Linked DNA regions of Stegostoma tigrinum. The protein of the gene in region 1 purifies or fractionates together with the protein of each later gene. This does not show direct contact. Links are inferred from orthologs where the notes say so. Each region holds a gene or a part of one and is shown on either strand. Other genes may lie near its edges. The genes, in order: park7 and eno1a.

Region 1 (16,433 bases):
GACAAAGTGATTTGTTAACAGCAAGTTGAAAAGGACAACTTTGCACAATTGTGTCTGTTTTTATAGACAACTTGCCCCTTCTTTACTAAATATGACATAATTAACCAGTTGTGACACAGCCAACAGGCCTTCAAGCCAAATGGAGACAGAGCATCAGTGAGAAGTCTTACATATCCTGACTCTACTATTGGGTTACCTCATCATGTGCTAAATCTCATACACTTATTCTAAAGTGATTATCTAAGGGTTCAGAGGAAGGGTCGCCGGACCTGAAACATTAACTTGGATTTTCTCTTCACAGATGTTGCCAAACCTGCTGAGCTTTTCCAGCAATTTCTGTTTTTGTTCCTGATTTATAGCGTCCGCAGTTCTTTTGATTTTTATCTAAGCGTTTCATTTAGAGATATGAATGAAGTGGAGATAGCACTGACTGACTAGTGCTTATCGTGTTGCAAATGGTGGTGGATGATTTAGAAAAAAACTAATGGAGGAGGCAAATCATTGATTAGCCCCTCTACAATTATGGCAGAGTCCAGCAGTGAGTGAAAGTCAACCGTATTCAGCCGGAAGTATCAAATGAATGATCCATCCAAGCATCTGCCATATGTTCCCAGCATCACAATTACTGCAGCAGTGTCTGTTCAGTAAGAGCCTGCACACGGATGTTTAAGTTCTGCTAGGGCCATTCAGTTCCTGACTTCATTACAGCGCTGGCTCAAACATTCACAACAGAGCTGAACTTGTGTGTGTGTGTGTGTGTGTGTGTGTGTGTGGCAGGGCAGTGGAAGTGACAGCCCTTGATATCAGGCAAGTGAATGGAGACATACCTGGTATGCAGGAAAATGGTTGCGGTTGTTGGAGATCAGATTTCTCAGCTTCAGGCCATCTTTGCAAGAGTTCTTCAGCGTAGTATCCTAGGCTCAATCTTTTCCTAAGAAGGGTCCCGAAAGGTTAACTTTCCTGCTCCTCTGATGCTGCCTTGCCTGCTGCATTCCTCCAACTCCAGCATCTGCAGTTTTTACTCTCAAAAATCTTCAAATGCTTTATCAAGAACCTTCTCTCCTTCATAAAAGGTCAGAAGCGGGGATGTTTGTCAATAATTGCATTATGTTCCACACCATTCACAACTCCTCAGGTGCTGAAGCACTCCATGTCCAAATGCAAAAGAAAACTGGACAATATTCAGGCTTGGGGTGATAGATGGCTAGTAACATATATGCCACACAAATGCCAGGCAATGACCATTTCCAAGAAGAGACAATCTAACCACCACTGCTTGACATTTAACAGCATTACCATCCCTGCATACCCCACCATCAGCTTCCTATGGATTATCACTAAATTGCACTAGCCCTATGAAGACAGTGGCTACAAATACTGTAGCAAGTAATTCACCTCCCAAAGCCTGTGCAATATTTAGAACACACAAGTCATGAATGTGATGGAATACTCCACACATGCCTGGATGGTGTGCAGCTCCAACAATACCAAAGAAGCTTGACATCACCCAGGACAAAGCAGCTTCTTGAATAATACTACATCCAAAAACAGTTGGCCCCTCTGTCACCAACACTCAGCAGTACGTACTTACAAAATGCAATGCAGAAATTCACCAAAGCTCCTTCTGGCCTTCTAAACCCATGACCAGAAGGGAAAAGACATTAGATACACAGGAACACTACCATCTGCAAGGTCCCCTCCAAGCCACTCCATTTTGACTCAAGAAATATAATTGCCATCATCCACTGTCGCTGGACCGAATTCTGGAAGTCCCTCTTGAAAAGCACTGTGGGTCTACCTAAGCATATGGACTGCAGTGATGCAAAAAGGCAGTTCACCAGCAACCAGAGACAGGCAATAAACGTGACCCAGCTGGCAATGCTCATGTCCCACAAGCGAGTTAAAAATAAAAATGTCAGCAAATTCAATAAACGTTGCGTGCACTGGATAAAGCTAAAGCAGTGAGCTCTGATAACATCCCAGCTACTGTGATGAAGACTCGTACTCCAGGAGATGGCTGCGTCTCTGGCCTGTTCTAGTACACATACAACACTGACATCTACCTGACAAAAGTAGAAAATTGCTCATGTTATGTCGTGTCCACAAAAAGTACGACAAATCCAGTTTAGCCAATCGTCTCCCCATTGGATAGATAACAGCAGATCCAACAATACAAGGAGCTTAACAGCACCCTAAACAAAGCAGCCTGTTTGATCGCCATTCCATTTTTTCTTCAGACATTCACTCCTTCCACCACTAGCACATAATAGCAACAGTCGACATCAACTACAAGCCACACCATAGCAACTTGTCAAGATTCTTCCAAATCAGAGAAGAACAAGAGCAGCATGCATTTATCAACCTCACCACCTTCGAGTTCTCCTTCAAGTCACCCATATTTCGACCTGGAAATACATCTCTCTCTCAAGGTCACAATCTCCAGTTTCCCTACCAATGAAAACTATGGATGAATACATACAAGGACTGGAGTAGTTCACTACTCAGTGTCTTGAGGACATTTAAAAGTAGGGCAATAAATATGGGCCTTGCCAACATAGTCAGTGATTAATTTGTTTTTAAACTGTGATATTGCCAGGCTGCTCAAAAATAAACAGCTCAAAATAGCTCAGCATTATAACCAATAGGTCAGAGAGGACCTCAGCTTAACACAACTGTAGTCCATGATCAGGCACCTTGATGTACACTAAATCTGCATCAAGCCTGCAAGTGTACAACAAACTTTAATCTGGAAGAAAGCCAATGCCAATTACAAAATGCTGCAGAATTAGAGTATGAACTTAAAGTTCATTTGACACAGTTTAATTAAGCAATATTCAAAATAAAAGGAACTACCCTATTTGCCTTTACTTGTCACTGAAGCAGAAACAATGTACCTGTTTAGCTGCATCTTGTAAGCTGGAGTCAGGGCAAATAACCACATCACGACTGCACGTTATAGGTTCTTTACATGTCAGCCCTGCCACCGTTACTGTTATCTGAAATATAAAAAAGAACAACATTGATTATCACCGCCTGTTGAAAGGTCATTGCGGAGGTTCACCACGGCCCAGCAGTAAGGCACCATGAATGCTCAGCTACTCAGGAGTGCCAATGGAATGCTGGTGAAGCAAAAGAAAACATGTAAGAATGTTATTCAGCATCCACTTCAAATGTGAGAAAACAGAGTACAATTCAAGAACAGGTCGTTCCAGGCCCAAAAAGATCCACGCAGTATTGAGCGATCATAAGCAATGACAAACCTCATCACTAGCATTAGCAGTAGGACCAATGCAAGGAGAAAATTAAGGCAATTAAATAGCACTAGCTTCAGTATACTATATTCTTATCTTGTGTAAGAATAACAGAAGGTTAAAATAACTTGAGACATAGGCCATGTTCTTGTCTTATAGAGTCATACAGCACGGAAACAACCAATACATGCTGAACGTAATCCCAAACTAAACTAATCCCACCTACCTGTTCCTGGCCCATATCCCTCCAAACCTGTACTTGTCCAAATGTCTTTTAAACATTGTAATTTTACCCACATTCACCACTTTCTCTGGCAGTTCATTCCACACGTGAATCACCCTCCGAGTAAGAAATTTGCTTCATGTCTTTTTTAAATCTTCTCCTCTCACCTTAAAGATGTGCCCCCAGTCTTGAAATCCCCCAACCTAAGAAAAAAACAATGATCATTAACTCTACCTAAATCTCTTATTATTTTATAAACTTATTTTAGTCACCTTGCAACCTCCTACACTCCTGTGAAAAAGTCCCTGCCTATCCAGCCTCTCTTTATAACTCAAACTTTCTATACCTGGAAACGTCCTGGTAAATCTCTTCTGAACCCTCTCCAGCTTGATCATATTCCTCCTATAAGTGGGCAACCAGAACTGGACACAGTAGGCAGACATAACGGACTTTCCATGTGATATTAGTTGGAATTACAGCAAGGAGCATGAAAGACATGTTAGTAAGACAGTCCTGTGACAGCTGTCTTTCTAATGTACAGCAATAGCAAACTTAAAATAGCATCAAATCACACCTCCTACCTCAGCAGTGGACAATGTAGGGAGATAATGGAATAGAAAGAGGTGGAAAAGCTATAAACAATATTCAAATTCAATAGTAGATTACAATTAAAACCAGATTTTAAAAATTCACTCTCTTGAAGTCTACCAACAGGAGGTTACATAATCGCAAACTTCACCCACACAATCCCAGATTGTTCACCTTTTAGTGATTTAGTCTGACAATTTGGTTAACGTTTAACTTGTGGATACATAATAACCAGAGTAAATCTCTGTAAAAGAGACTTAAGATACAAAAATTAAAATACATTTAAAAACCTTCATACAATTTGTTAAACATGTTTAGTAAGTTTTTTCAAAACAAGAATTTGAATCTTTGCTCTCCACTCCATTGCAATTTCAAATTGTCTTGTTTTAAAACCCTGCTCACCTCCTCTGGCTTTTATTTTCCCTTCTTTAAGTTTTTATTTTCCTTCTTGTATTTGATCAGGTTTCAAATCCCACAAAATCTGTATTTTTTCCCCCAGTCCTGATTAAAAGGCATTGATTTGAAGTGTTAATGGTTCTTTTCTATCCCTCTCCGCAGATGCAGCCTAACATGAGCATTTCCACTATTTTGTTTATTACAATTTCAGCTTTGCTTAATTAGTAGCCAGCTAGCACTATATAGTCGAATACTTGAAGTTCAACAAGTATGGCTGCCGCAGCATGTAATCTATTCACCACTCCAGTGCAATGAGTAATCATTGTATTGGTGATGTTGCTTTCAAATGAATCGTCACGGATCAGGAATCCTGTTCAAAGTTCTACCCTCAACCACCTTGAATATCAGGTTGACCAGAAAGTCATTCCTTTGGCATTTGGTGAACTTGCTAAACACAAGACTTTCCCCATAGTGTACTTTTCGGTCATTGTAGCCATAATACTTGTAACCACCAAGACAGTTTAGATGCAAAATGGAGACATGAATGCAAGACATGTTTTCGCTAAAGTGACATTTTAATAGCAGAATCAGTGGCTTTTTTTAAAATACAAAGTCACCCATAGGATTCATTCACTGATTTATTAATGTCCAACAGGGAACAAAATCCACTAGCCTTAACTATTCAAGTTTACATAGGACTCCAGATTCAATGAAAGTTTGGCTGACTCTTAACGTTCCTCTAAAATTGCATAGCAATCCAGTCAATTGTATGAAACCACCACAGCAGTAACAGAGGAGAATAAATTGAACACAACACCAGGCATCAAAAGCACCAACTACCCAGGCAACATTTCAAAATCCTCATTCCCAATATCCAAGAGTTTGTGCCAAAATTGGGACAGCTGCCCCAAGGACTTATCCAGCAACAGCCTGACAGTCATACTCATCAAATCCTTACCTTACTGCCAATGTCCGAGACACCGACATCACCACTTTTAGGCATGTCCTGTCCCACTGACAGGCCAGACTCAGAAGCAGCAGCACAGTGCTACACTGGAGGAAGTGTCCCTGGGAGTTCTCAATATGGTCTGTGCGCCCCATGAGATCTCAGCATCAGTTCAAACCAGAGGAGAGAAACTGCTTTATGATTACTACCTGCAGTTCTGTTGGTCACCAACTGGATTAAGACAGAGTGTATGCTTGGTGGAAGACTTTCCATAATTAGGTGGCTCAGTAACTTTACTACTAAGTGAGATCTCAAAGACATGGCTTCCAGCAGGCGAAGAGAAACAGGATGGAAAAAAAATGATTCACCCTCACCAATCTACTTGGTGTTTGGTCCATGACACAGTATTACAAAGTCATTGTGCAGAATCAGTCCCCACTTCGTACTGGAGATACCCAGCAGAGTAACATCTAGGCCCGAAACGTCAGCTTTTGTGCTCCTAAGATGCTGCTTGGCCTGCTGTGTTCATCCAGCTTCACACTTTGTTATCTTGGATTCTCCAGCATCTGCAGTTCCCATTATTTCTGATACCCAGCAGAGTTTTGTCTTCCTATTCATGCTAAATGAGCTAGAATTAGAACAGATCTAGCAGCTTAAAACTGGGAATCAATGAGGCAGAGTGAGCTAATCAGAAAAATTGTAGTAAACCACAAAACATAACCAAACATATTCTTCATCAAGCAGGAACAGCTTCAGAAGTATTTAAAATTGAAGTGCCAATCTGTTGCAACTATATAGGACTATTTGCATGCTCAACTCCAAAGTCAGCATACTGGTGAGGAAAGAAATCCCACAGATAAATAAAAAGGTCAAAATTCTGTATCCTAAAATGGTGAAGAGACAAGTAAATACCTAACTAAAGAAGGCACCTGCATAAAACACGCCACCTCCAGTGACAGGGGAGGGTAGGGCATCAAAGCAAAAGTCAAAGCTCACACACACATTCTGAGGAAGGGTCACTGGACCCAAAATGCTAACCGTTTTTCCCTTAACAAATGCTGCCAGACCTGCTGAGCTTTTCCAGTAACTTTATTTTTGTTCCTGATTCACAGCATCCGCAGTTCTTTCAGTTTTCAAAAGTCAAAGCTGATGATTTTACATCATCTTCAGCCAGCAGAACAGAATGGATAGTCCATTCCCAACATGAGGCACCTTCATCACAGATGTCACTTCTCACAGAATTCCTTTCATTCCATTTCATATCAGGAAATAGTTGAAGGCACAGGATACATTAAAAAGGCCCTGACAACAGCATCTCTGACAATAGGAAACTGCCAAGCTTTTCTGTTCACAAAAACAAGGCAAGACCAATCTAGTCAATGACTGAACCAGTCTATTCTCAATCAAAGTGATGCAAGTTCTCATCAACAATGTTACCAATCAACATTCAGCAACAGCTTGATCACTTATGTTCAACTCAGGCTCCAAGGGCACTTAGCTCCAGGACCCTTTACAATCTTGTTTCAAACATGGGCAATTTCATATACATACTTGCCAAGGCTAATGGAATCCTGGTTTTTATACCAACAAGACTACAACTCAAGGGAGTACAATGCATGCTTCAGGCATACAGAAAGCCAATTAGACCAAAATTGGACTTCTGGCAGCATTAGGGAAGATACATTAGGATTGGACAGAATGTAGTGCTTATAATTTACATGAATTATACTTGTTCCCTCATATTTTAAACTGCAAAGACAGATGAAATAACTGAGAATTGTACTCCTTGATATTCAGATATTACCCGATACCTTAATAAGTTTGAATCAACAGGAAAAGATGGATTAGATACAAAGTGGCGTGTCTAGGTCTTACGGACTACTCAAGAAAGTTGAGTGCGTTTCTTCTGGAGTGAAATTAGGGAACGTCTGCATGTAAAGAGTAGCATAAATTTGGAAACTTCTTCCAGAAGAAACAACAAGTGCTAAGTTAACAAATGATTTCAAAACAAAGATTTTGTTAACAAACAGCACGAAGTAGTAACATATAGATACCTATATCATCCAACGACAAGTTGCAAGGCTACTGGTGAAGTACAGGAAATGCAAATATGTGCTTGACGAGAAGCACGAATAAAGTAGGCTGGCGACCTCTTTCCATGCTGCAGAATTCTAACTATGAATCCTTGATTGAGAAAGTGACTGATCAGACTTTACCAACCAAATGACCTATTCTTATGCTCCAATGAATTTCCAACTGCAAAGCTAGAATTTGAACCATGAATTATTGGGCTTCTGGATTCCTAGGTCTGAAACATAACTGCTGAACTATTTCCAGCTGCAGCACAACTCCACAAATGCATTTGGTTATTTAAAGACTAACTGAGGCAGTAACGAGAGAAAGATCAATATGTCCCCCACCTCTGAAATTTACTAAGAGGTTAATCCAGGTCAAACAGTTGCAATCCCATTGACTGCACAGCCAGGCGGGACCAGGGCTGCTCTACACTGATTGGATATTTTGCCTGCCAATCACGGCTGACGACCAAACGCACAAAAACTACGCCATTTCCCACTTTAAACTGAAATAGATTTATTATCAAACCACAAATGTGCCTGCTCACCCCAGCCCGACGCATTAGGTCTGTAGGAATCACCGTTTCCATCTCCTCGGCCCCTTTAGCCAAAATCAACAGCGCACGCTTGGCCGCCATCTTGGAACAAGTGCCGGCTCGTTCGCTTGCGCGTTGCATCATACGGGTCGGGCTACGACTCCCGAGTAGGCCCCTAACACACCGCGCCACAAATTCAAAATTTTGAGAAGATTTGTAGCTCAGGTTGAGGTTCTGGATGTGAGATTGCTCGCTGAAAACGAACCTTCCAGCTCAGCGAACAATCTCACATCCACAAATTCAAAATAGCCGCACTGCAGTACTGACAGCGTCAAAAGTAGAAACAGAAACTTCTAGAATCGTTCAGCAAGTCTGGCATCATCAGTGCTGATGCAACGGAGAGAAGCAAATTTAACATTTCAAGTCAGTCAATGACCCTCCATTAGAATTGATGTATTGTGCTGCGACAATACGTCAATTTCTCCCTCTAGAGATATAGGCTGATCAGCTGATATTTCCAGTATTTACTTCAAATTTCCAAATTTGCAATATTGTATATCACTGCTTCAAGATATTTTGTACCCAGTCATAAAATCACTGTAATAGCAGGTTCTGACTCCAACGCCCTAACCCCGAATTGCCTAATTAGCACAATCCAAACCCCAAAGTCTCCATAGAAACCTTCACAATCCTAAACCTAACCACTTGTCCCTAATTCCAACAATTAACTCCATCCGAGTATAGTGGCGCATGAGAGTGCTGCAATATTAGCAGCTTATTTATGGTACCAATAGTCAAGCTACAAATATTCACTCCGTTTTTGGGACAAAATAGTTACAGAAGGCTGAATTTCAACCTATTCTAAGTCTATCCATTTACACCAAATTAAAATCATGCTTTGAGATTTTCCACTTGTGGGGAAGAAGCCTAATATAAAGGAGCAACCCAATGAACACAAAAAGGAATTGAGAATAACTTGGTTACCCAGAGCTAATAATGCAGAACATTACCACTGGGAATGATTATGATGAACGATATAGATATATATAAGAGGGAGCCAGATAAGAGCATGACGGAGAAAGGATCAGAAAGTTTTGGATGATGGAGAATGGGAGGAGGTCCACATAGATAAACACTGGCCTGAATTGTTTGGACCAGGTGTCCCTGTGGATATATTACATCTTCCAAGTAATGCTTGCAACTCTGTAACGGCCATATCATTTTAGAATAATCTTTAGCGATTCTTATATCTTTCAAATTAACCAACACAGCAATGTTTACAATATTCATCCCAATGTAGAATAACCTCCTAGGGTAGCATTGTATCAGGTTTTTGGACTTATACTTTTTTGGACTAGCTATACCTGCACCTTTACGATCAGTGTTTCTGTGCGTGACAGAACTTTTTCCAAATACATCATGTCAGAATCTTGTCCCATCATCAAATTATCATCTTTCTACGTTGACCTAGGTGGAAGTGATTGAGTTTGCGATGTAGAATTTGTAAGTAGCCCAGTAAGGGTATTATAACTATTTTCTTGTAAATAGAGTCATTGGAAGGCATTAACTTAGTGGTATTATTGCTAGACTATTAATCCAGAGGGGGTGAAAAGAATTGTGAATGCTGTGAATCAGAAACAAAAACAGAAGTTGCTGGAAAAGCTCAGCAGGTATGGCAGCATCTGTGGAGAGAAATCAGAGTTAACATTTTGGGTCTGAGGACCCTTCCTCAGAACTAATCCAGAGACCCAGATAATATTCTAGGGACCAGGGTTTGAATCCTGCTACAGCAGATAGTGGAATTTGAATTCATTTTTTAAAATTCTGGAATTAAGAATCTACTTATGACCCTTGAAATCATTGTCGATTGTCAGAAAAACCCATCTGGTTCATTAAAGTCTGAAAATCTGCCATTCTCACCTGCTCTGGCCTACATGTGACTCCAGAGCCGCAGCAATGTGATTGACTTGAAATTTCCCTCCAAAATGGCCTAGCAAGCCATTCAGTTGGACCAGTCATTGCAAAGTATCAAAGACATGAAACTGGATAGATCAACTGGCATCGTCCTAGGCACCAGAAAAGACAGAAACAGCACTGTCAAGCTTGCAAAGTCCTCCTCAGTAACATCTGGGGGCCTAGTGCCAAAATTGGGAGAGCTGTCTCACAGACTAGTCAAACAACAGCTTGACGTGGTCATACTCACGGAATCATACCTTACAGACAATGTCCCAGACATCGACATCACCATCCCTGGACATGCCCTGTCCCAACAGCAGGACAGGCCCAGCAGCGGTAGCAACCATGATGGTATGCAGTTGGAAGAGAGTTGATCTGGGAGTCCTCAATATTGACTCTGGAGCCATGGAGTTAAAATGTGCAAGGTGACCTCCAGGTGATTACCACATACTACTCTCTTTCAGCTGATGAATCAGTACTCCCCATGTTGAGCAATACTTGGAGGAAGCACTGAGGACGGCAAGGGCACAGCATATATTCTAGGTGGGGGATTTCAATATCTATGGTTCAGCAGCAGTACCACTGATAAAGCTGGTCAGATCCCAAGGGACATAGCTGCCAGACTGGGTCTGCAGCAGATGGTGAGGTAACCAACAGGAGGGAAAAACATACTTGACCTCATCCTTAACAATCTGCCAGCAGCAGATGCATCTGTTCATGATTGTATTCATAACAGCAACCACCATCATCCTTGTGGAGATGAAATCTGGCCTTCACATTAAGAATAACTTTGATCGTGTTGTTTGACACTATCACTATGCTGAATGGGACAGACTTTGAACAGATCTAGCAACTCAAGGCTAGCCATTAAGGAGGCATTGGGGGCCATCAACAGCAGCAGAACTGTACTCTAGGACAACCTGTAAACTCATGCCCCAGCAAATCCCCTACCCAACAATTACCATCAAGCCAGGGGATCAACCCTGGATCAATGGAGAGTGCTGGAGGGCATGACAAGAATTGCACCAGGCATACCTAAAAATGAGGTGACAGCCTGGCGAAGCGACCAGACAGGACTACTTTCATGACAAGCAACATAAGCAGAGCCAGACAGATAGACAGAGCTAAGCGATCCCACAGCCAAAGGATCAGCTTTATGATCTGCAGTCCTGCTACATTCAGTCGTAAATGGTGGTGGACAATTAAACAACTCACCAGTGGAGGAGGCTCCACAAACGTTGGTTTCCTCAATGATGGAAGAGCCCAGCACATCAGTGCAAAAGATAAGGTTGAAGCTTTCACAGCAATCTTCAGCCAGAAGTCCCAAGTGGATTATCCATCTTGGCCTCCTTCAGTGGTTCCAGCATCACGATACAAGTCTTCAGCCAACTCAATTCATTCTATGTTAAATCAAGAAACAGTCAAAGACACTGGATACTACAAAGACTACAGGCTTGGCAACATTCCGGCAATAGTACTGAAGACTTGTGCTCCAGAACTTGCTATTCCCCTAGCCAAGCTGTTCCAGTACAGTTACAAGCATATAAAGGTACAGGTACAGGCATCTACCTGACAATTTGAAAATTGCCCAAGTACATTCTGTACATAAAAAGCAGGACAAATTCAAAAGGCCAATCACTGCCCCATCAGTCTACTGTTGATCATGAGTAAAGTGATGGAAGATGTCTATCAAGTACTATTTAGCAGCATCTGCTCAGCAATAACCTGCTCAATTGTGCCCAGTTTGGGTTCCGCCAGGACCACTTGGCTCCTGACCTCATTACAGTCTTGGTTCAAACATGGACAAAAGAGGTGAATTACAGAGGTGAGGTGAAAGCGACAGCCCTTGACATCAAGGCTGCATTCAATCAAGTGACATCAAGGATCCCTGGAAAAATTGGAATCAATGGGAATTCAGGGGCAAATTCTGTTGGTTAGAGTCATACCTGACACATAGGAAGATGATTGTGGTTGTTGGAGGTCAGTTGTCTCAGCTCTGGGACATCTCTACAGGAGTTCCTCAGCGTAGTGTCCTATGCCCCGCCATCTTCAGCTGCTTCATCAATGACTTTCCCCCCATCATAAGGTCAGAAGTGGAGACGTTCACAGATGATCACACAATGTTCAGCACCATTTGTGACTCCTCAGATACTGAAGTAGTTCATGTCCAAATGCAACAAAATCTTTATAAATATCCAGACTTGAGCTGAAAAGTGGCAAGTAACAAATGCCAGGTTATGGCATTCACCATTAAGTGACAAACTAACCACCACCCCTTGACATTCAATGATATTACCATCACTGAATCAAGCACCGTCAACACCCTGGGTTTATCATTGACCAAAAACTCAACTAAATTCACCAATAAATGCAGCAGCTACAAGAGCAGGTCAGAGTCTAGGAACACTGTGGTGAGTAACACATCTCCTGACTTCCCAAATTCTAACCACCATCCACAAGGCCCAAGTCAGGAATGTGATGGAATACTCTCTATTTGCTTGGATGAGTGAAGCCCCAACAACACTCAAGAAGCTTGACACAATATAGGACAAAACAGCCCGCTTGTTTGGCACTACACCCACAAGCATTCACTCCCATCATCATTGACACTCAGTAGCAGCACTGTGTACTATTTCCAATATGCACTGCAGAAATTCACCAAAGATCCTCAGACAGCACCTTTCAAACCCACGACCACTTCCATCTAGAAGGACAAGGGCACTACATACACAGGAACACCACTGCCTTCAATTTCTCCTTTAAGCCTTCCTCCATCCTGACTTGGAAATATATTGCCAATCCTTCACTATCTTTGGGTCGAAATCCTAGAATTCCCTCCCAAATGACATTGTGAGTCAACCCACAGCAAGATGACTGCAGTAGTTCAAGAAGGCAGTTCATAACCACCTAAGGGTAACTAGGGATGGATAATAAATGCTAGCCAGTTAGGGATGCCACATCTCAAAAATGAATAATTTTTTTAAAAAAAGAATTAGACAGCAATGAAACAGACCCTTTGGTCCAACTTGTAAATGCCAACCAGATATATTAAACTGGTCTTGTCCCATTTGCCAGCATTTGGCTCATTTCCCTCTAAACTCTACCTATTCATGTACCCATTCAAATATCTCAGCAAGGGACCCAGCAATCTCTTCCCCAACTTCCTGTTTAGTTCTGGGTATATCTGATTACGTCCCAGGGATTTATCCATCTTTATGCATTTTTAGATGTCAAGCACCTCCTCCTCCGTAATATGGGCTCTTAAAAATATCACTATTTATTTCCTTAAGTTCTCTAGCTTCCATATTTCTTCTCCACAGTTACTACTGATGCAAACTACTCATTTAGTATCTCACCCACCTCCTATGGTTCCATACACAGATAGCCTTGTTAAGCTTTAAGAGGCCCTGTTCTCTCCCTACTTACATTTTGTATTTGTAGAATCCCTTTGGATTCTTCTTAACCCTATTTGCCAAAGATACCTCACGTCCTGTTTTTGCCCTCTTGATTTGCCTCTTATGTATACTCCCGCTGCTCAAATACTCTTTTACCGTTGATCCCAGCCATCTATACCCAATATATACCCCATTGAAGAGAGCATCAATTCATCCAGCATTCCCTACACCTGCCAGTCATGCCCTTCACACTAACAGGACCACTCTCTCTGGGCTCTCATTACCACACCTTTAAAGGCCTCCTACTTTCCAACCATCCCTTTTCCTGCAAGTAACCTCTCCCAATCAACTTTTGAAAGTTCTTGGCCTTAATCCAATGTAGAATGTTAACTTTTAAATCAGTCTAACGTTTTCCATAGATGACAGGAACTGCAGATGCTGGAGAATCCAAGATAACAAAGTGTGAAGCTGGATGAACACAGCAGGCCAAGCAGCATCTCAGGAGCACAGGTGCTGCTTGGCCTGCTGTGTTCATCCAGCTTAACACTTTGTTAACTTTTTCCATAACTATTTTAAAACTAATAAAATTAGGATCAGTGGCCCCAAAGTGCTCTCCCACACACATCTCAGTCACTTGCCTTGTCTTATTTCCCAAAAGAAGGTCAAGTTTTGCCCCTTCTCTGGTAAGTAAATCCACATGCCAATTAAGAAAATTTTCTTGTACATACTTAAATTCCTTTCCATCCAAGCCCTTAACACCATGGCAGTTCTAGTGTTATGTTTGGAATGTTAAAATCTCCTACCATTGCAACCATATTATTCTCTAAAGGCTCTCTGATGAAGGGTCTAGGCCCAAAACGTCAGCTTTTGTGCTCCTGAGATGTTGCTTGGCCTGCTGTGTTCATCCAGCTTCACATCTTGTTATCTCTTATTCTTACAGATATCTCAGATTCCTTACAAATTTGCTACTCAATATCCTGCTGACTATTGGGGGGCCTATAGTACAATCCCAATAAAGTGATAATCCCTTTCTTATTTCTCAGTTCTATCTATATAATTTTTTGCCATGTTCCTAATTATGCCCTGAGTTCATCTGACTCATCAGTGCCTCTTGCACTGAAATAAATGCAGATTAATTTATCAGTTTTACCTCATTCACTACCTTGCTCTTGCCTGCCTTGACTATTTAACTTGCTTGTATTCTGTACTGTGGTAGCCTCAGACATTTCTTTCTCATTATCTCTTTAGGACCAGCCCCCTTATTTGTTTAAATCCTTCTGAGTATCACAAGCAAATCTCCCCATCAGGATATTGCTCCGCTTCCAATTCAGTACAACCCGTTCTTCTTGTCAAGTCATTTCTGCCCCAGGAGAAACTCCAATGATCCAAAAATGTGAATCCCTGCTTCCTGCACCAGCTCCTAAACTATGCATGCATCTACTCTATCCTCCTACTTCTTCTCTCACTAGCACATGGCCCCAGGAGTAATCCAGATATTACTACTTGCGAGGACCTACTTTTTAACCTCCTGTTAATTTCCTATATTCTGTTTACATAACCTTGTCCCTTTCTCTTCCTATGTCATTGGTACCAAAAAGTGTACAATGATGTACTACTTGTTGCTGTCCACTTTGAGAAAAATCTGCATTCTCCCCAAGACATCCTTGACCTGGGGAGCAACATACCATTCTGACGTCTTGCAGTCAGCTGCAGAAATGTTTGTGCCCCTGTCACAATCAATCACCTGATGTACCCCTCGTCACAGTAGAGGCCCTCTGAATCCCAGAAGCCTGGCTGTCAGTGCTATATTGTCCTGAAAGGCCATTATGCCCTTATCCAAAACAGCAAACATGTTTGAGATGGCGATAGCTACAGGACACTCCTGCACTACCCCTCCTACATTTCCTAAGAGTAATCCATCTACCCAATTGTATTTGAAATATTTTTAACCTCCCTGAAACTGCCATCCATCACCATCCCTGACTCCTGTAAATCCCTCATTGCCTCTAACTGCCAATCCATACAATCCAATAGGATTTGCATCTAAACACACTTCCTGCAGACATAATCTCCAGGAACATTGAAATTCTCCCTAATCTCCCACATCCAACAGGAAGAGTGCATCACTCTACTAAAAGCCATCACTGCACCTTAAACAATCTAGACCCAAAGTATACGCAAAAAAAGAGTTCTGAAGAAGGGTCATTGGACCCGAAACGTTAACTCTAATTTTTTCTTCACAGATGCTGCCAGACTTGCTGAGATTTTTCAGCAACTTCTGTTTTTGTTCCTGATTTACAGCATCTGAGGTCCTTAAGTTTTTAGTCACAATTAATTCCCTTTTTCTTAAACTGCATTTCCTATTAATTCCACGTCACACACATGTGTGTATCCATTGTCTCTTAAACATCTCCACAATGAACAGACTCTTGCCAATGTGCTTCAACTCAAGTTTGTATCCAATTGTTGACATGCTGTGCACCCAGTGGAGTACTTCATTCATTGGCTCTCCATCATAGGGAGGCCCGTTTGCAGCAGTGCACCATGTTGGCCACAGAGTGGCACCAGATGTCAAACATAAAACCAAAACCAAGTTAATGTTTCGTGTCGAGTGATCCCTTCCTCAGAAGAATACAACACAGGGCTAAAAACTATTGTCACTATGATAATGAATACTCATTGCCTCTGTTAAAACTAAAGACCAAGGAACGTTGTACAAGCGTGTTCACTGTATGTACAGTGTCAATGTAACAGTTATTTCTGGTGTCAACAATGGCTCAGTGGTTAGCATTGGTGCTTCACAGTGCTGGAATCATGGGTTTTATTCCAACCTCAGGCGACTGTCTGTGTGGAGTTTGCACATTCTCCTGTGTCTGTGGGTTTTCCTCCAGGTGCTCTGGTTTCCTCCCACAGTCCAAAGATGTGCAGGCTAGGTGGATTGGCATGTTAACTTGTCCATAGTGTTCAGGGATATGTAGATTAGGTGGGTTATAGGGGGACTGGGTCTGGGTGGAATGCTGTGAAGGTCAGTGTGGACTTGTTGGGCCAAAGGATCTGTTTCCACACT
Region 2 (16,316 bases), about 10 Mb from region 1:
GACTTAAGATACCTGGATCAAATGGATTCACTCTGAGCTACATTTGCCAACACTTGCGTAACAGAACGTCTGGCAGCAGCTGGTGGTGGTGAGGGAGGACACTGAACAGGGCAGCTTGGGCAGCTGTGTCAGTGCCTCCAGTAACTGGTGGGAATGGTGAGGGAAGGCACCGAGATGGGCAGATGGGGCAGTCGAATGGGCCCTGAACAAAGGAAAGGCTGCTTTAGGTCAATAGTCCTGATGGGGAGAAGGATTAAACAGACAAAATATTATCTCATCCAGATGTAAACCAAATTCCCTTTAAGTACAATGCTTTCTAAGTTTAATGTTAATTTTGTTTGTAATGATTTAATGACAGTGGAAGAAAGAACCAGGGCTTCATAATCTTTGGGCCATTCGTGTGTTCAAATCTTGAGTTGCATTAAAAATTTTAACTAGGTCCTACACCTGGTGCATATCCCCTGGCTAAGACCCTCTGTGACACAATGTCAACACTCTGAGCTGCAGCACTTGTATTATATTTTAATCATCAAATACATCAGCATTTTCCTATAGGCACCAGGACACACTTCAGCATTCCTTTATGAAACAGCTGCTTTCAATCCCTGAACAATCCCCTTAAATAAAGTAGCCTGTAGTCATCGCATTGGAGTCAGAATGCTCAGGAAAAATTCCTTCAACTGATTTGTTCCACTATGGTCAGCAACAGTACCGATTGAATTTCCCCTTGATGTAAGGTCAACTACATAATATTTAACACAGGAAGATGCATGAGTGTCGAATAACAGCAAGGAATAGCTGGTTAGAAACTGAAGCTTTATATGGAGCATCTAGCTCTTGGAAACTGGGTTCCTCATTGGCTGTGGGAGGATTTGAATTCTGCATCCTCTTAATACAGTGTTTGAGGGATATTAAACAAGCTATTGGTGCAAGAAGGTCAGACCGTAAACTCATAGCATCGTAGAGTCACAGAGTCATGCGGCACAAAAACAGACCCCTTGGTTCAACTCATTCACACTGACCAAATTTCCAAAATGAAACAAGTCCCACTTGACTGCAATTGGCCTATATCCCTCCAAACCTTTCCTACTCACGTACCTGTCCAAAAGTCTTTTAAATGTTGTAACTGTACCTGCCTCTACCACTTCCTCTGACTGTTCATTCCGCATACAATCTACCCTCTGTGTGAAGAAGTTGTCCCTCAGGTCCCTTTTCAATCTTTCTCCTCTCACCTTGAATATATGCCGTATAGTTTTGAACTCACCACCTGCTATTCACCTTATCTGCGGCCCTCATGATTTTGTAAACCCCTATAACATCACCTCCCAACCTCCGGTGGTCCAGTGAGAAAAGTCCCAGCTGTTCAGCCTCTCTTTATAACTCATGCCCTCCAGTTCCAGCATCTTTCTGTCAAATATTTTCTGAACCCTTTTCAACTTAATAATACCCTCCTTACAGCAGGGCAACTAGAACTGTACACAGTACTCCAAAATGCCTCACCGAAGTCCTGTATTACCTCAGCATTATGTTTCAACTCCAATGCTCAATGGTCTGAGAAATGAAAGCAAGTTTGCTAAATGCATCTTAACCAACTCAACTAAAGTCCATGTAGACAACGTCTGCTGCTCCGTCGTCACCAGTCTTTTTTGTTATGTCCTCAAAAAACTCAATCAAGTTTGTGACAAATGAATTCCCACACACAAAGCCATCACTTTCAAAATCATTGCGGCAAAACAGAACATGCAATTGAAAAACTAGAAAGGGGTATCCTTTCAAATCAACATCAATATTAGACTGTGACAACAGCTGAATACAGGAGAAAAGGAAACAACAGACTCACATCTACAAAGCACCCTTCACAACAGCAGGTTGCCCAAGGCATTTTACAGTCAATTGAATATCTCTTTAAGTGTAGTGAATGGTTTGAAAGTAGGGAACAGGAAGGAATGAGAAAATTGGCCAAGGCATTTCTGAAGAAGGATCTAGGCCTGAAAGGTCAGCCCTCCTGCTCCTCTGAAGCTGTTTGGCCTGCTGTGTTCATCCAGCTCTACACCTTGGAGTCTCATGTAAAGGATGTGATTTTTCTCAAATTGTCTTGGCCAGATCCTGTTACAAACATTGGATGGAACACTGTGGATTGGTGTCCTCTGGTTGTCTTCAAAATAGTGCATGGGATCTTTTACATCAAGCAAGGAGGATGGGCTGGGCTCCACTTTAACGTCTGATCTGACAGATGATGCCTCTGATCATTGCAGAACTGAGTGTTGAGTGAAGTAGCCACTTGACCTCAGGACCTTCTGCCCAGAGGAGAGGTAGGGGGAGATATTAGTGAGTGAGCTGATTCTCTAAAGTTTTCCAGATGTTAACCACCTTATAAGAAGATAAGAGACAGGCAGCGGAGTTGGTTGTGTCTCCAAAGTCTGCTTTCATATCTCAGCTTTACTTTCCAGGCCTCTCTTGATCAAATGGCCCATTGGGCCGAGGACAGGCAGATGAAGTTTAATTTAGATAAATGCAGTGTGCTGCGTTTCGGAAAGGCAAATCAGGGCAGGACTTATACACTTAATGGTAAGGTATTGGGGAGTGCTGATGAACAAAGAGGCCTTGGAGTACAGGTTCATAGTCACTTGAAAGTGGAGTCACACGTAGTCTAGTGAAGGCGGCATTTGGTATGCTTGCCTTTATTGGTCAGTGCAATGAGTATAGGAGTTGGGAGATCATAGTGTGGCTGTATGGGACATTGGTTAGGCAACTTTTAGAATACTGTGTGCTAATGTTATCTCCCCGCTATGGGAAGCATGTTATGAAATTTGAAGAGGTTCAGAAAAGATTTTCAAGGATGTTGCCAGGGTTGGAGGGTTTGAGCTATCAAGAGAGCTGAATAGGCTGGGGCTATTTTCCCTGGCATGTCGGAGGTTGAGGGGTGACCATGTAGAGGTTCATGAAATCATGAGGGGCATGGATAGGATAAATAGACATGGTCTTTTCCGAGGGTGGGGAAATCCTTAGCTAGACGGCATAGTTCAAGGTAAGAGGGGCAAGATTTAAAAGGGACCTAAGGGGCAACGTTTTCACACAAAGGGTGGTGTGTGTACAGAATGAGCTGCCAAAGCTGGTGGTGGAGGCTGGTACAATTACAACATATAAAAGGCATCTGGATGGATATATGAATAGGAAGCGTTAGAGGGATATGGGCCAAATGCTGGTAATGGGACTAGATTAATTTAGGATATCTGGTTGGCATGGAATAGTTGGACCGAAGGGTCTGTTTTTGTGCTGCTACATCTCTTTGTCTCTATGACACTGCCTGATTCTTGCTTACCTGCAGGATCAAATGTCTGTCTATCTCACCTGTTATTGCAAAGTACACTAGATATTTCTAATCGACCTGTGCAGAGAACCTTTGGAGCAGGTAAGACTTAACCCAGGTCCCTGGTTTATCCTTCTTTGTAAGATGTTTCCAAGAAAGACAAGATCACTGAGAAAATGTTTCAATAACCTCATTCTTTCAAAGTACTGACATAATTACAGATTGAGGGGCGTCTGTTATCCAACATGACCACCACAGTTTGGAAACAGATTTAGATTTTATTGTCACATGCACTCGAGTACAGGAATACAGGAGTACAGCGAAAAGAGCACAAAGTCCATCAGAAATCTTTTGTGCATGCTTGAAAATATTCTGGACAACTGCACAATAAACATTATTCAAAGTCAGTGGTGAAATGTGCTTTTTGAGAAGGACTGTACAAATAAAAGTCTTTCTTTTGAGTTATATGGTACATGAGGGGTAAGAAAACCAATTCAAACGGTGTTAATGGAGATACCAGGGTCAATTGGCATTAACCGCAGACCACCATGAAGAGAGTCCAACTTCAATTTTCTCTAATAATTTGGATTTGTCCTTTCACACATCTTCGGGATGCAATGTTTGAATTGACTGGCTGATTAACTAGTTCCAAATCAAGAATAGCTACTGCAAATAACTAGGTTAGATATAAAAATGCATGAGAATGATTTGTCAATTTATATTTCACATGGATTAATAAGTAGCCAAACAGCATCCTTCATTTACATTGGTAATGTTCACATCCAGCCACAACCTAGTGATTTCTTAGGGTTATTCTCTAGGGTATTACTCGGTAGATTCTGAGGGATGGTTTCAACATTCAACATTTCTTTTAACATTGAACCAAATGAATTTTTCAGTTCAGAGAAGGGTCTCTAGGATGATCCCTGGAATGGAGGGATTGTCTTCTCAGCAAAGGCTAAACAGGTACAGATTGGAACTTAGAAGAATGACAGGTTAGTCTAATTGAGACATACAGGATTCTTAAAAGGCTTGACAGGGTAAATACTGTGAGGATGTTTCCCCTCATGGGAGAGGCTAGGCAGCAGAGGGCATAGATTCAGAATACAGAACACAAATTTAATACTGAGATGAAGAAGAATTTCGTCTCCCAGAAGGTTGTGAATCATTGGAACTCCTTGCCCTGTGGGGGCAGAGTCCTTGTGTACATTTAAGGTTGAGATAAATTCTTGATCAGTTGGGAAATCAAGGGTTATAGGGAAATGGGAGGAAAGTGGACATGAGGAATGTTGGGTCAGCCATTATGCTGTTGGATGGCCTACTTCAGTTCCTATTTCTCGTGGTCTACAACTCATTGCATCACTAAAGAATCCACATTTTCAATAGTTGACAAATGTTTACTTAAATGATTTCATGAAAGGCTTCATAATTATTATTGGCTAAAATGTCATTTGCAAATTGTGCAGTAATTAAAAACATGATTTTATTTTAACTAACAGAACTGCTCCTAAGTTGCAGTGAATGAGTGAAAAACTGAGTGAATCTTGAACATTTGACAATACGGTTTCTATCACGGTACTTTGCAATTCCTTTTCTCAATATTTTATTGTAATGTTATTTTAGAAATGGTCCCCCAGTTGAAGATTTAAAATTCTTAATCAATTTTGAGAGGTGCTTGAAATTGCAACAGTGAGAATGAACAGATACAAAAGCTTAAAAGATACAAAAGCTTAAGCACACATGCCAACAGATTCTAGAACAGCTTCTTTCCCACTGTTATTAGACTCCTGAACAGCCCTCTCAAATTTTGAATTTAGTGTTGATCTTGCTCCCTGTGCACCTTCCCTGAAGCCATAACATTGTAGTTGTCACTGTTCTATTACTCTAATGCTCTTTGTATTATAATCTGTCTCTACTGCAAGCAAAACAAAACTTTTCACTATACCTACACACATGTGACAATAATAAATCAAATCAAATTAAGAAAGACTGTTGAAAGTGACACAGAGAAAAGACTATGTCAGTATTCTGGTTTGTTGATCTGAAATGTAAAGCTACATGGATCTTGTTTCGAGGGCAAAATGGAAGGCTGCAGGAGGGGTCGACCTGGGCAGAGTTGGATGATGGATGTCACAGAGAGTTCTGATGGATGTGTGAGGATGGCACATGATGCACAAACATGACAGATCGCCTGCAGAGGTGGAAAGTTGTGCATTCGCCACTCAATAACACTAATCCCAAAGCAATTCCCAGAGAGGGACAAAGAAAGAGGAATCACGTCAGTTTAGGAGAGTGGGAGAGTTGGGGGAGGAGATGTGGGATGAGGGAGAAGGTGGACCAAAAACTCGGTTGAGAAGATATTTACCTCATTGAGGAAGGTTTTAGAAGCAGTTACTGAGAGCCAAGACAGTTGAAACTTTGGTCATGAGATGGAGCAAATAGATATAATGAGAAGACCGGAATGCTCAGGAGAGGATCTAGGTCTGGAGGGGATTGAAATGATAGGGGATGTGGGAAATAGACAAGGATTTTAGAAATAATACATTGGGAAGGAAAACATTGGGAAGGAAGCAGGATCCAATGCAGAAAAGAGCAGTGAACATATGGCACAAGAACGGAAACTGTTGCAAAAACTGAGCAGATTTGACAGCATTTTTGGGAAGAGAGCAGAGCTAAGGTTTGGAGTCGGGTGATTCTTCACCAGTTTCTCCAGCAATTTCCGTTTCTCTCGTTTCAGATCTCTAGCATTTGCAGTTCTTTTATTTCATTTTAAATGGACAAATAGCATTCAGTGTAGCGCAGAATGCATGCGGTAAAGGTTTGCACACATTAAATTGTGGATTATTGGGAGTCAGTTAAGAGGCCATGGAGACAAACAAGGTGACAGAGGGATATTTAGCTCTTCAAGTTTTGCAGAAGTTAAAAATAGACAATGTTAAGAAACTGGCATAACAATCTCTAATTTTGTTGTATAATTGTTACTGACATAAAAATAGGATTGTATAACAAGAGTAACAGTCAGGACATGGCCATTCTGTACAGATGAGCAGGTTTCTACGCTCCGAGTGAGAAACATTGGAACAGCTACATGTCAAGTGGACTGAGCTGTCGCAATACGGGTTAGAAGATCTTAGAAGTTATCTTTAGTGGGCGTGAAAGTTCTTGGACGGTTTGCTACAGTTGCAGGGACCTCTGGCACTGTCAAACTGTAGAACTGGGGTGAATCAAAACAAAATGACCTCAACTTGTACCACAGGAAACTCGAATTGACGAAAAATCCAAAGTGCTCGCTCTTAAATCTAGATTTAGCCCTTAAATACAAGAAGAAATAAAACTGACTAGTCCCGAACATTTTAGGGAGAACACTACGAAACTACAAACACATCAACAGCAGTTCTTATTTCCTTAACACTGCATACACATAAATCCATAATTCCAACACTACACTGGCGACCGAACACAGATCTCCCGAATGCAGGAACACTAGCAGATAACTAGGATTTCCCTATTTTTAGTCTCAAGCCATTAATGGGATTCTTCTCATATTTTCTGCACGTTAACCTTCTTGTTTGGGCCTATAAAACAGTCTTAGTTACTGACTCACAAACAAGGTAAATCCTGTACATTTCTAATTGCAGGTCAGTTACCCGCAGCGTTGTCGATCCCAAAGCAAATCCGACAGGAAAACACTGCCCGACTCAGTTCTGCAAACAGGCCAATATTACACACCCCATCGACACCAATGCTTGCAAATATATACACTTTTAAAAGCTGTTAAAATACTTCGTTCAACAGTTTTGAGAAGTTCATTCAAACTAAGTAAGGGAACGCCCTCTTTGCCACGGACTTTCTTGAACGAGCAGCAACTCTGTCAAACGAGCCAGTACAGGCGGGATGGGCAGAACGATCTCCCTTCCGTGCTCCGGCTGTGCTTACGCTCCTCCTGGACCTGGGGGAGGTTCTCACTTGCAAAGAAAAACAAAGAGGCCAAGCCGAAATTAAGGTGCAGACTTGTAACTGCTTGCTTGGCTAATCCCCCCCCGCCCCAGAGGAGGGGAGCGGCGCGTACCTGTTGCCCACAGAGAGGAGGCGGTGGGAGAGAGAAAGGGCCAGAAGCAGCAGAGACGGGCAGAGCAGCTGAGGACGCGACAAGGACACGAGCCCCGGCCGCAACAAAGAGACCGACCGAGTCCCAGCCGCCGCTCTTATTGGCTCGTTCCAGCACCGTAACAATGAGTAACCCTGGAAACAGTGACATCTGCCACTGTCTGACCTCACCCTGTGCGACGACACTGGGCTGGCATTGATTCCATTGGGCACTGAGAGCTTAACAAACACAGGGGGGTCACACTTACCCTCACATTGCACTGGGCACTGAGAGATCAACAAACACAGGGGGGGTCACATTTACCCTCACATTGCACTGGGCACTGAGAGATCAACAAACACAGGGGGGTCACACTTACCCTCACATTGCACTGGGCACTGAGAGATCAACAAACACAGGGGGGTCACACTTACCCTCACATTGCACTGGGCACTGAGAGATCAACAAACACAGGGGGGTCACATTTACCCTCACATTGCACTGGGCACTGAGAGATCAACAAACACAGGGGGGGTCACACTTACCCTCACATTGCACTGGGCACTGAGAGATCAACAAACACAGGGGGGGGTCACATTTACCCTCACATTGCACTGGGCACTGAGAGATCAACAAACACAGGGGGGTCACACTTACCCTCACATTGCACTGGGCACTGAGAGATCAACAAACACAGGGGGGTCACATTTACCCTCACATTGCACTGGGCACTGAGAGATCAACAAACATGGGGGGGGGGGTCACATTTGCCCTCTCATTGCACTGGGCACTGAGAGATCAACAAACACAGGGGGGTCACATTTACCCTCACATTGCACTGGGCACTGAGAGATCAACAAACACAGGGGGGGGTCACATTTACCCTCACATTGCACTGGGCACTGAGAGATCAACAAACACAGGGGGGTCACATTTACCCTCACATTGCACTGGGCACTGAGAGATCAACAAACACAGGGGGGTCACACTTACCCTCACATTGCACTGGGCACTGAGAGATCAACAAACACAGGGGGGTCACACTTACCCTCACATTGCACTGGGCACTGAGAGATCAACAAACACAGGGGGGTCACACTTACCCTCACATTGCACTGGGCACTGAGAGATCAACAAACATGGGGGGGTTCACACTTACCCTCACATTGCACTGGGCACTGAGAGATCAACAAACATGGGGGGGTCACACTTACCCTCACATTGCACTGGGCACTGAGAGATCAACAAACACAGGGGGGTCACATTTACCCTCACATTGCACTGGGCACTGAGAGATCAACAAACACAGGGGGATCACATTTACCCTCACATTGCACTGGGCACTGAGAGATCAACAAACACAGGGGGGTCACATTTACCCTCACATTGCACTGGGCACTGAGAGATCAACAAACACGGGGGGGTCACATTTACCCTCACATTGCACTGGGCACTGAGAGATCAACAAACACAGGGGGGTCACACTTACTCTCACATTGCACTGGGCACTGAGAGATCAACAAACACAGGGGGGTCACATTTACCCTCACATTGCACTGGGCACTGAGAGATCAACAAACACAGGGGGGTCACATTTACCCTCACATTGCACTGGGCACTGAGAGATCAACAAACACAGGGGGGTCACATTTACCCTCACATTGCACTGGGCACTGAGAGATCAACAAACACAGGGGGGTCACATTTACCTTTACATTGCACTGGGCATTGAGAGATCAACAAACACAGAGGGGTCACATTTACCCTCACATTGCACTGGGCACTGAGAGATCAACAAACACAGGGGGGTCACACTTACCCTCACATTGCACTGGGCACTGAGAGATCAACAAACACAGGGGGGGTCACACTTACCCTCACATTGCACTGGGCACTGAGAGCTTAACAAACACAGGGGGGTCACACTTACCCTCACATTGCACTGGGCACTGAGAGATCAACAAACACAGGGCGGGTCACACTTACCCTCACATTGCACTGGGCACTGAGAGATCAACAAACATGGAGGGGGGGTCACATTGCCCTCTCATTGCACTGGGCACTGAGAGATCAACAAACACAGGGGGGTCATACTTACCCTCACAGTGCACTGGGCACTGAGAGATCAACAAACACGGTTGGGGGGTCACATTTACCCTCACATTGCACTGGGCACTGAGAGATCAACAAACACGGTGGGGGGGGTTCACACTTACCCTCACATTGCACTGGGCACTGAGAGATCAACAAACACAGGAGGGCCACACTTACCCTCACATTGCACTGGGCACTGAGAGATCAACAAACATGGGGGGGTCACACTTACCCTCACATTGCACTGGGCACTGAGAGATCAACAAACATTGGGGGGTCACATTTACCCTCTCATTGCACTGGGCACTGAGAGATCAACAAAGACGGGGGGGGGGTCACATTTACCCTCACATTGCACTGGGCACTGAGAGATCAACAAACATGGGGGGGGGGGTCACATTTGCCCTCTCATTGCACTGGGCACTGAGAGATCAACAAACACAGGGGGGTCACACTTACCCTCACATTGCACCGGGCACTGAGAGATCAACAAACACAGGGGGGTCACACTTACCCTCACATTGCACTGGGCACTGAGAGATCAACAAACACAGGGGGGGTCACATTTACCCTCACATTGCACTGGGCACTGAGAGATCAACAAACACGGTTGGGGGGTCACATTTACCCTCACATTGCACTGGGCACTGAGAGATCAACAAAGACGGGGGGGGGGGGTCACATTTACCCTCACATTGCACTGGGCACTGAGAGATCAACAAACATGGGGGGGGTCACATTTACCCTCACATTGCACTGGGCACTGAGAGATCAACAAACACAGGGGGGTCACACTTACCCTCACATTGCACTGGGCACTGAGAGATCAACAAACACAGGGGGGTAACACTTACCCTCACATTGCACTGGGCACTGAGAGCTTAACAAACACAGGGGGGTCACACTTACCCTCACATTGCACTGGGCACTGAGAGATCAACAAACACAGGGGGGTCACATTTACCCTCACATTGCACTGGGCACTGAGAGATCAACAAACACAGGGGGGTCACACTTACCCTCACACTGCACTGGGCACTGAGAGATCAACAAACACAGGGGGGTCACATTTACCCTCACATTGCACTGGGCACTGAGAGATCAACAAACACAGGGGGGTCACATTTACCTTCACATTGCACTGGGCATTGAGAGATCAACAAACACAGAGGGGTCACATTTACCCTCACATTGCACTGGGCACTGAGAGATCAACAAACAGAGGGGGGTCACACTTACCCTCACATTGCACTGGGCACTGAGAGATCATCAAACACAGGGGGGTCACACTTACCCTCACATTTCACTGGGCACTGAGAGATCAACAAACACAGGGGGGGTCACACTTACCCTCACATTGCACTGGGCACTGAGAGCTTAACAAACACAGGGGGGTCACACTTACCCTCACATTGCACTGGGCACTGAGAGATCAACAAACACAGGGGGGGTCACACTTACCCTCACATTGCACTGGGCACTGAGAGATCAACAAACATGGGGGGGGGTCACATTGCCCTCTCATTGCACTGGGCACTGAGAGATCAACAAACACAGGGGGGTCATACTTACCCTCACATTGCACTGGGCACTGAGAGATCAACAAACACAGGGGGGTCACATTTACCCTCACATTGCACTGGGCACTGAGAGATCAACAAACACGGTTGGGGGGTCACATTTACCCTCACATTGCACTGGGCACTGAGAGCTTAACAAACACGGTGGGGGGGGTTCACACTTACCCTCACATTGCACTGGGCACTGAGAGATCAACAAACACAGGAGGGCCACACTTACCCTCACATTGCACTGGGCACTGAGAGATCAACAAACATGGGGGGGTCACACTTACCCTTACATTGCACTGGGCACTGAGAGATCAACAAACATGGGGGGGTCACATTTACCCTCTCATTGCACTGGGCACTGAGAGATCAACAAAGACGGGGGGGGGGGGGGGTCACAATTACCCTCACATTGCACTGGGCACTGAGAGATCAACAAACACAGGGGGGTCACACTTACCCTCACATTGCACTGGGCACTGAGAGATCAACAAACACAGGGGGATCACATTTACCCTCACATTGCACTGGGCACTGAGAGATCAACAAACACAGGGGGGTCACATTTACCCTCACATTGCACTGGGCACTGAGAGATCAACAAACACAGGGGGGTCACATTTACCCTCACCTTGCACTGGGCACTGAGAGATCAACAAACACAGGGGGGTCACATTTACCCTCACATTGCACTGGGCACTGAGAGATCAACAAACACAGGGGTGTCACATTTACCCTCTCATTGCACTGGGCACTGAGAGATCAACAAAGACGGGGGGGGGTCACATTTACCCTCACATTGCACTGGGCACTGAGAGATCAACAAACATGGGGGGGGGGTCACATTTGCCCTCTCATTGCACTGGGCACTGAGAGATCAACAAACACAGGGGGGTCACACTTACCCTCACATTGCACTGGGCACTGAGAGATCAACAAACACAGGGGGGTCACACTTACCCTCACATTGCACTGGGCACTGAGAGATCAACAAACACGGTTGGGGGGTCACATTTACCCTCACATTGCACTGGGCACTGAGAGATCAACAAACACAGGAGGGCCACACTTACCCTCACATTGCACTGGGCACTGAGAGATCAACAAACACGGTTGGGGGGTCACATTTACCCTCACATTGCACTGGGCACTGAGAGATCAACAAAGACGGTGGGGGGGCGTCACATTTACCCTCACATTGCACTGGGCACTGAGAGATCAACAAACACAGGAGGGCCACACTTACCCTCACATTGCACTGGGCACTGAGAGATCAACAAACATGGGGGGGTCACATTTACCCTCTCATTGCACTGGGCACTGAGAGATCAACAAACATGGGTGGGTCACATTTACCCTCTCATTGCACTGGGCACTGAGAGATCAACAAAGACGGGGGGGGGTCACATTTACCCTCACATTGCACTGGGCACTGAGAGATCATCAAACATGGGGGGGGGGGTCACATTTACCCTCACATTGCACTGGGCACTGAGAGATCATCAAACATGGGGGGGGGGTCACATTTGCCCTCTCATTGCACTGGGCACTGAGAGATCAACAAACACAGGGGGGTCACATTTACCCTCACATTGCACTGGGCACTGAGAGATCAACAAACATGGTTGGGGGGTCACACTTACCCTCACATTGCACTGGGCACTGAGAGATTAACAAACATGGGGGGGGGGTCACATTTGCCCTCTCATTGCACTGGGCACTGAAAGATCAACAAACACAGCGGGGTCACACTTACCCTCTCATTGCACTGGGCACTGAGAGCTCAACAAACTTGGAGGGGCTCACACTTACCCTCTCACTGCAGTGTACCCTCCAGTGTTTATCAGCTGAAGGACCCAAACATATGGTTTAATTCTACTGTGAATTCCAGTGTTCAGCAGCAGGAATCAGACTTATCTTTTAATTCCATGACGTTCTCCAGTGCTCAGCTACAGGAATCAAACTTATTCTTTACAGTTTAATTCCACTGTGTACTGCAGTGATCAGCATTTGCATGAACCATGATTACTCTTTATCTACATTGGGCGCTGGATGCTCAGCAGAAGCTTGAACTTATTTCCAGTGTGTTCCGCAGTGTGCAGCAAATTCACGACTCAAATGAATCTGTCCATTCCACTGTGACGGCCAGTGTTCAAGAGAGACAGTAATCAAACTTACCCTTTCTTTTATTTCTATTTTGTTTCGTTATAAGTAGGAATTTCTCATTGGTGTTCCTTTACACAAACGTGACCGGTATTTTTGATTTATTCACTCTAATGGATAAAAATCCTGATCTAATTGGCCGATTGTAAAAAAAAATTCAGTGCCAATCTTATACTCTATCACATAACAAAAGTCAGATCTCAAAATTGATAACTAAAGTTACTTGTACTTTGTATCTCAGCAGCTGAAAACATTTACCGCTGGTAGGCAGTTTGGGTTTGAAAGCAACCAGCGTTCCTTCAGTGTTGCTGCGTCTAAATCCTAGAGTTTCTTTCTTAATAGTATTGTGGGTTTACATACATCAAATGGGCTGTGGTAGTTCAAAAAGGCAGCAGCAGCACCACCTTCTCAATGGCAACTAGGGATGGTCAACAAATGCTGGCTCAGCCAAGGATGCTCGCATCTAATGAATCCACAAAAAAAATCGATTCCTCGCTTGCCAAACAACCTTCAATGTTACAGCAAGCTGGGTGTCGTCTTTTCTGTTGGTGTAAACATCTGCATTGGTACCAGCTTGGATCTCATATCTCTCAGGCAGAAATTTGTGCCAGTTCAACCGCACCCTGCCCCCACAACTTTGAGAGTGTAGTGGAGTTCTAATGATGAGCTTCACCGTGTTTTTGGAGGTATCATCTCTTGACTGAGACATGAAACAGATACAATTGAGGAAAATCTGAAAGAAAGAAATTCCTGGTGCTAGTCAGGAAAGAGTTTGACTTGTGCAGAGCTCTGTTCAGACAAATCAGTGTTTTATATTCAGATACATACAAACATACAAAATAGGAGCAGAAATAAACCTTTCAGCCCCTCCAGACTGCTTTAGAATTTAGAATTTTAAATTAGGCTTCTTGTCATGTCTCCTCCAGTTACAAAAGTACAGGAGAACGGTGAAAACTGTCCAATGTTTCCAACACATGGCACATCTTAGGAACAAAGTACCTAGGTACAAATCTTAGGTACAAAAAAAATAGAGAAAATAAATTTAAAAAGTTTTCCTTTTACATTCCTGCCAACAGGATATAGAACAGGATATAATAGAACAAATTCTCCTATAACTCCTCCCACTTCCTACAGATTAAGGGGGTGGCCATGGGCACCCGCATGGGCCTGCATCTTCATAGGGTATATGGAACAGTCCCTTTTCCGCTGTTACAATGGCACTATTCCCCACCTCTTCCTCTGCTTGAACAGTTCGTCAACTTCACTAATACCTTTCATCCCAACCTCATGTTCACCTCGACCATCTCTGATACCCCCCTCTCCTTTCTGGATCTCCATCCCCATCTCCATCTCCATCTCTGGTGACCACCTCGAAACTGACATTTATTTCAAGCCCACCGACTCCCATAGCTACCAGGACTACACCTCCTCTCACCCACTGTCCTGCAAGAATGCAATCCCCTACTCCCAATTCCTCCACCTCTGCCCTGAAGATGGGGCATTCCACTCCCGCGCATCCCAAATGTCATACTATTTCAAGGACCATAACATACCCCAACCAGTGATCGAAAATGCTCTCAACTGCATCTCTTGCATTTCCCACACCTCAGCCCTCAAACCCCATTTCTCCCAACAAAAATACAGACAAAATCCCCCTTCTTCTCACATATCACCACACCAACCTCTGCATCTAATGTATCATTCTCCGCCATTTCTGCCACCTGCAATCCGACCCCACCACCAAAGATATATTTCCCTCCCCAGTCCCATCTGCCTTTGAAGGGACCACTCTCTCCACAACTTCCTCGTCCACTCCACACTCCCCACTAACCCCACCAACCTGGCACCATTTCTCTGCAACCTGCCGGAAGTACTATACCTGCCCCTTCACGTCCTCATCTCCTCACTCACCTCCATTCAAGGCCCAAAACAAACTTCTTACAACCGACAGGAGTTCACCTGCACATCTGTGAACTTATCATCTGTAAACCGCTGCTCTCACTGTGGCCTCGTCTACATCGGTGAGATCAAGTGTAGACTTAGAGTCCATTTCATACAGCATCTGCACTCTGTTCGTGACAAATGGCATCACCTTCCGGTTGCCAATCATATTAACCCCCTCTCCCACTCCCTGGGTGACATATCCATCCTGGGCCTCCTCCAGTGTCACAATGACGCCACGTGGAAACTGGAGGAGTAGGACATCATATTCCACCTTGGGAGTCTACAACCCGATGGCCTAAACATGGCATTCATCAGTTTTAACACCTCCCCACCCTCAGGCTCATCCCATGTCCAACCGTTCCTCTCAGCCCCACCTCCTTGACCTGACACAACCTGTTCATCTTCTCTCCCACCTATTCACCCCACCATTCCCACTGAACAATCCCCACCACTGCCTACCTGCACTCATCTATCACTATCCCACCTACCTTCCCCTCCTCTCTCTATTTATTTCCCAGCTCCCTTTCCCCTCCCCATTTCTGAAGAAGGGTCCCAACCCAAAACATCAACTTTCCTGCCCCTCTGCTGCTGTCTGGCCCGCTGCATTCCTCCAGCACCACACTGTATTATCTCTAAAATCCTCATTATGCGCTTATCAGTAAAAATGTTTCATTTCTCTGTGTGACAAAATATACTGATGCTTTCTTATCACCTGGAGGTTTTCCAAATGCACACCTATATCTCCTATAGAAAATGAATGCTTCTAACATAATGCTGATAAGCTAGGTATCGTTTTCCACCTCTCTTTCTTCTTGAATATGTGGGAGGATTATATTTGCTAATTTCCCGTTTAGAATAATGGAATCCGTAAAGTGTGGAAACAGGCCATTCAGCCCACTGAGTCTACACTGATCCTCTGAAGAGCATCCCATCCAGACCCATCCCAAATCTGTAACTCTATATTTTCCACGGCAAGGAGAACATGCCAACTCCACACAGACAGTCACCTGAAGCTGGATTAAAACCCAGGTTCCTAGTGCTGTGAGGCTGCAGTGCTAAACACTGAACCACTATGTCACGCTTGATGGAGCCTTTCCTATATCTGGGAAATTTTGGAAAACTAATACTATTCCATCTACTACCTGAGCCC

The links.
Region 2: the proteins of park7 (region 1) and eno1a fractionate together in Homo sapiens (co-fractionation; 3 studies listed by BioGRID). This does not show direct contact. The link is inferred for Stegostoma tigrinum from reciprocal best matches to the Homo sapiens genes PARK7 and ENO1.

The regions. Positions count from the first base shown.
Region 1 is NC_081381.1:26,092,968-26,109,400, forward strand, and holds the start of park7 (Parkinson disease protein 7 homolog), read right to left. Parts: upstream 8,204-16,433; 5' UTR 8,160-8,203; coding exon 8,028-8,159; intron 2,997-8,027; coding exon 2,895-2,996; intron 1-2,894. UniProt on the Homo sapiens protein: Multifunctional protein with controversial molecular function which plays an important role in cell protection against oxidative stress and cell death acting as oxidative stress sensor and redox-sensitive chaperone and protease.
Region 2 is NC_081381.1:15,890,156-15,906,471, reverse strand, and holds the start of eno1a (enolase 1a, (alpha)), read right to left. Parts: upstream 7,512-16,316; 5' UTR 7,380-7,511; intron 7,276-7,379; exon of another isoform or gene 7,158-7,275; intron 7,146-7,157; exon of another isoform or gene 6,958-7,145; intron 1-6,957. UniProt on the Homo sapiens protein: Glycolytic enzyme the catalyzes the conversion of 2-phosphoglycerate to phosphoenolpyruvate. In addition to glycolysis, involved in various processes such as growth control, hypoxia tolerance and allergic responses.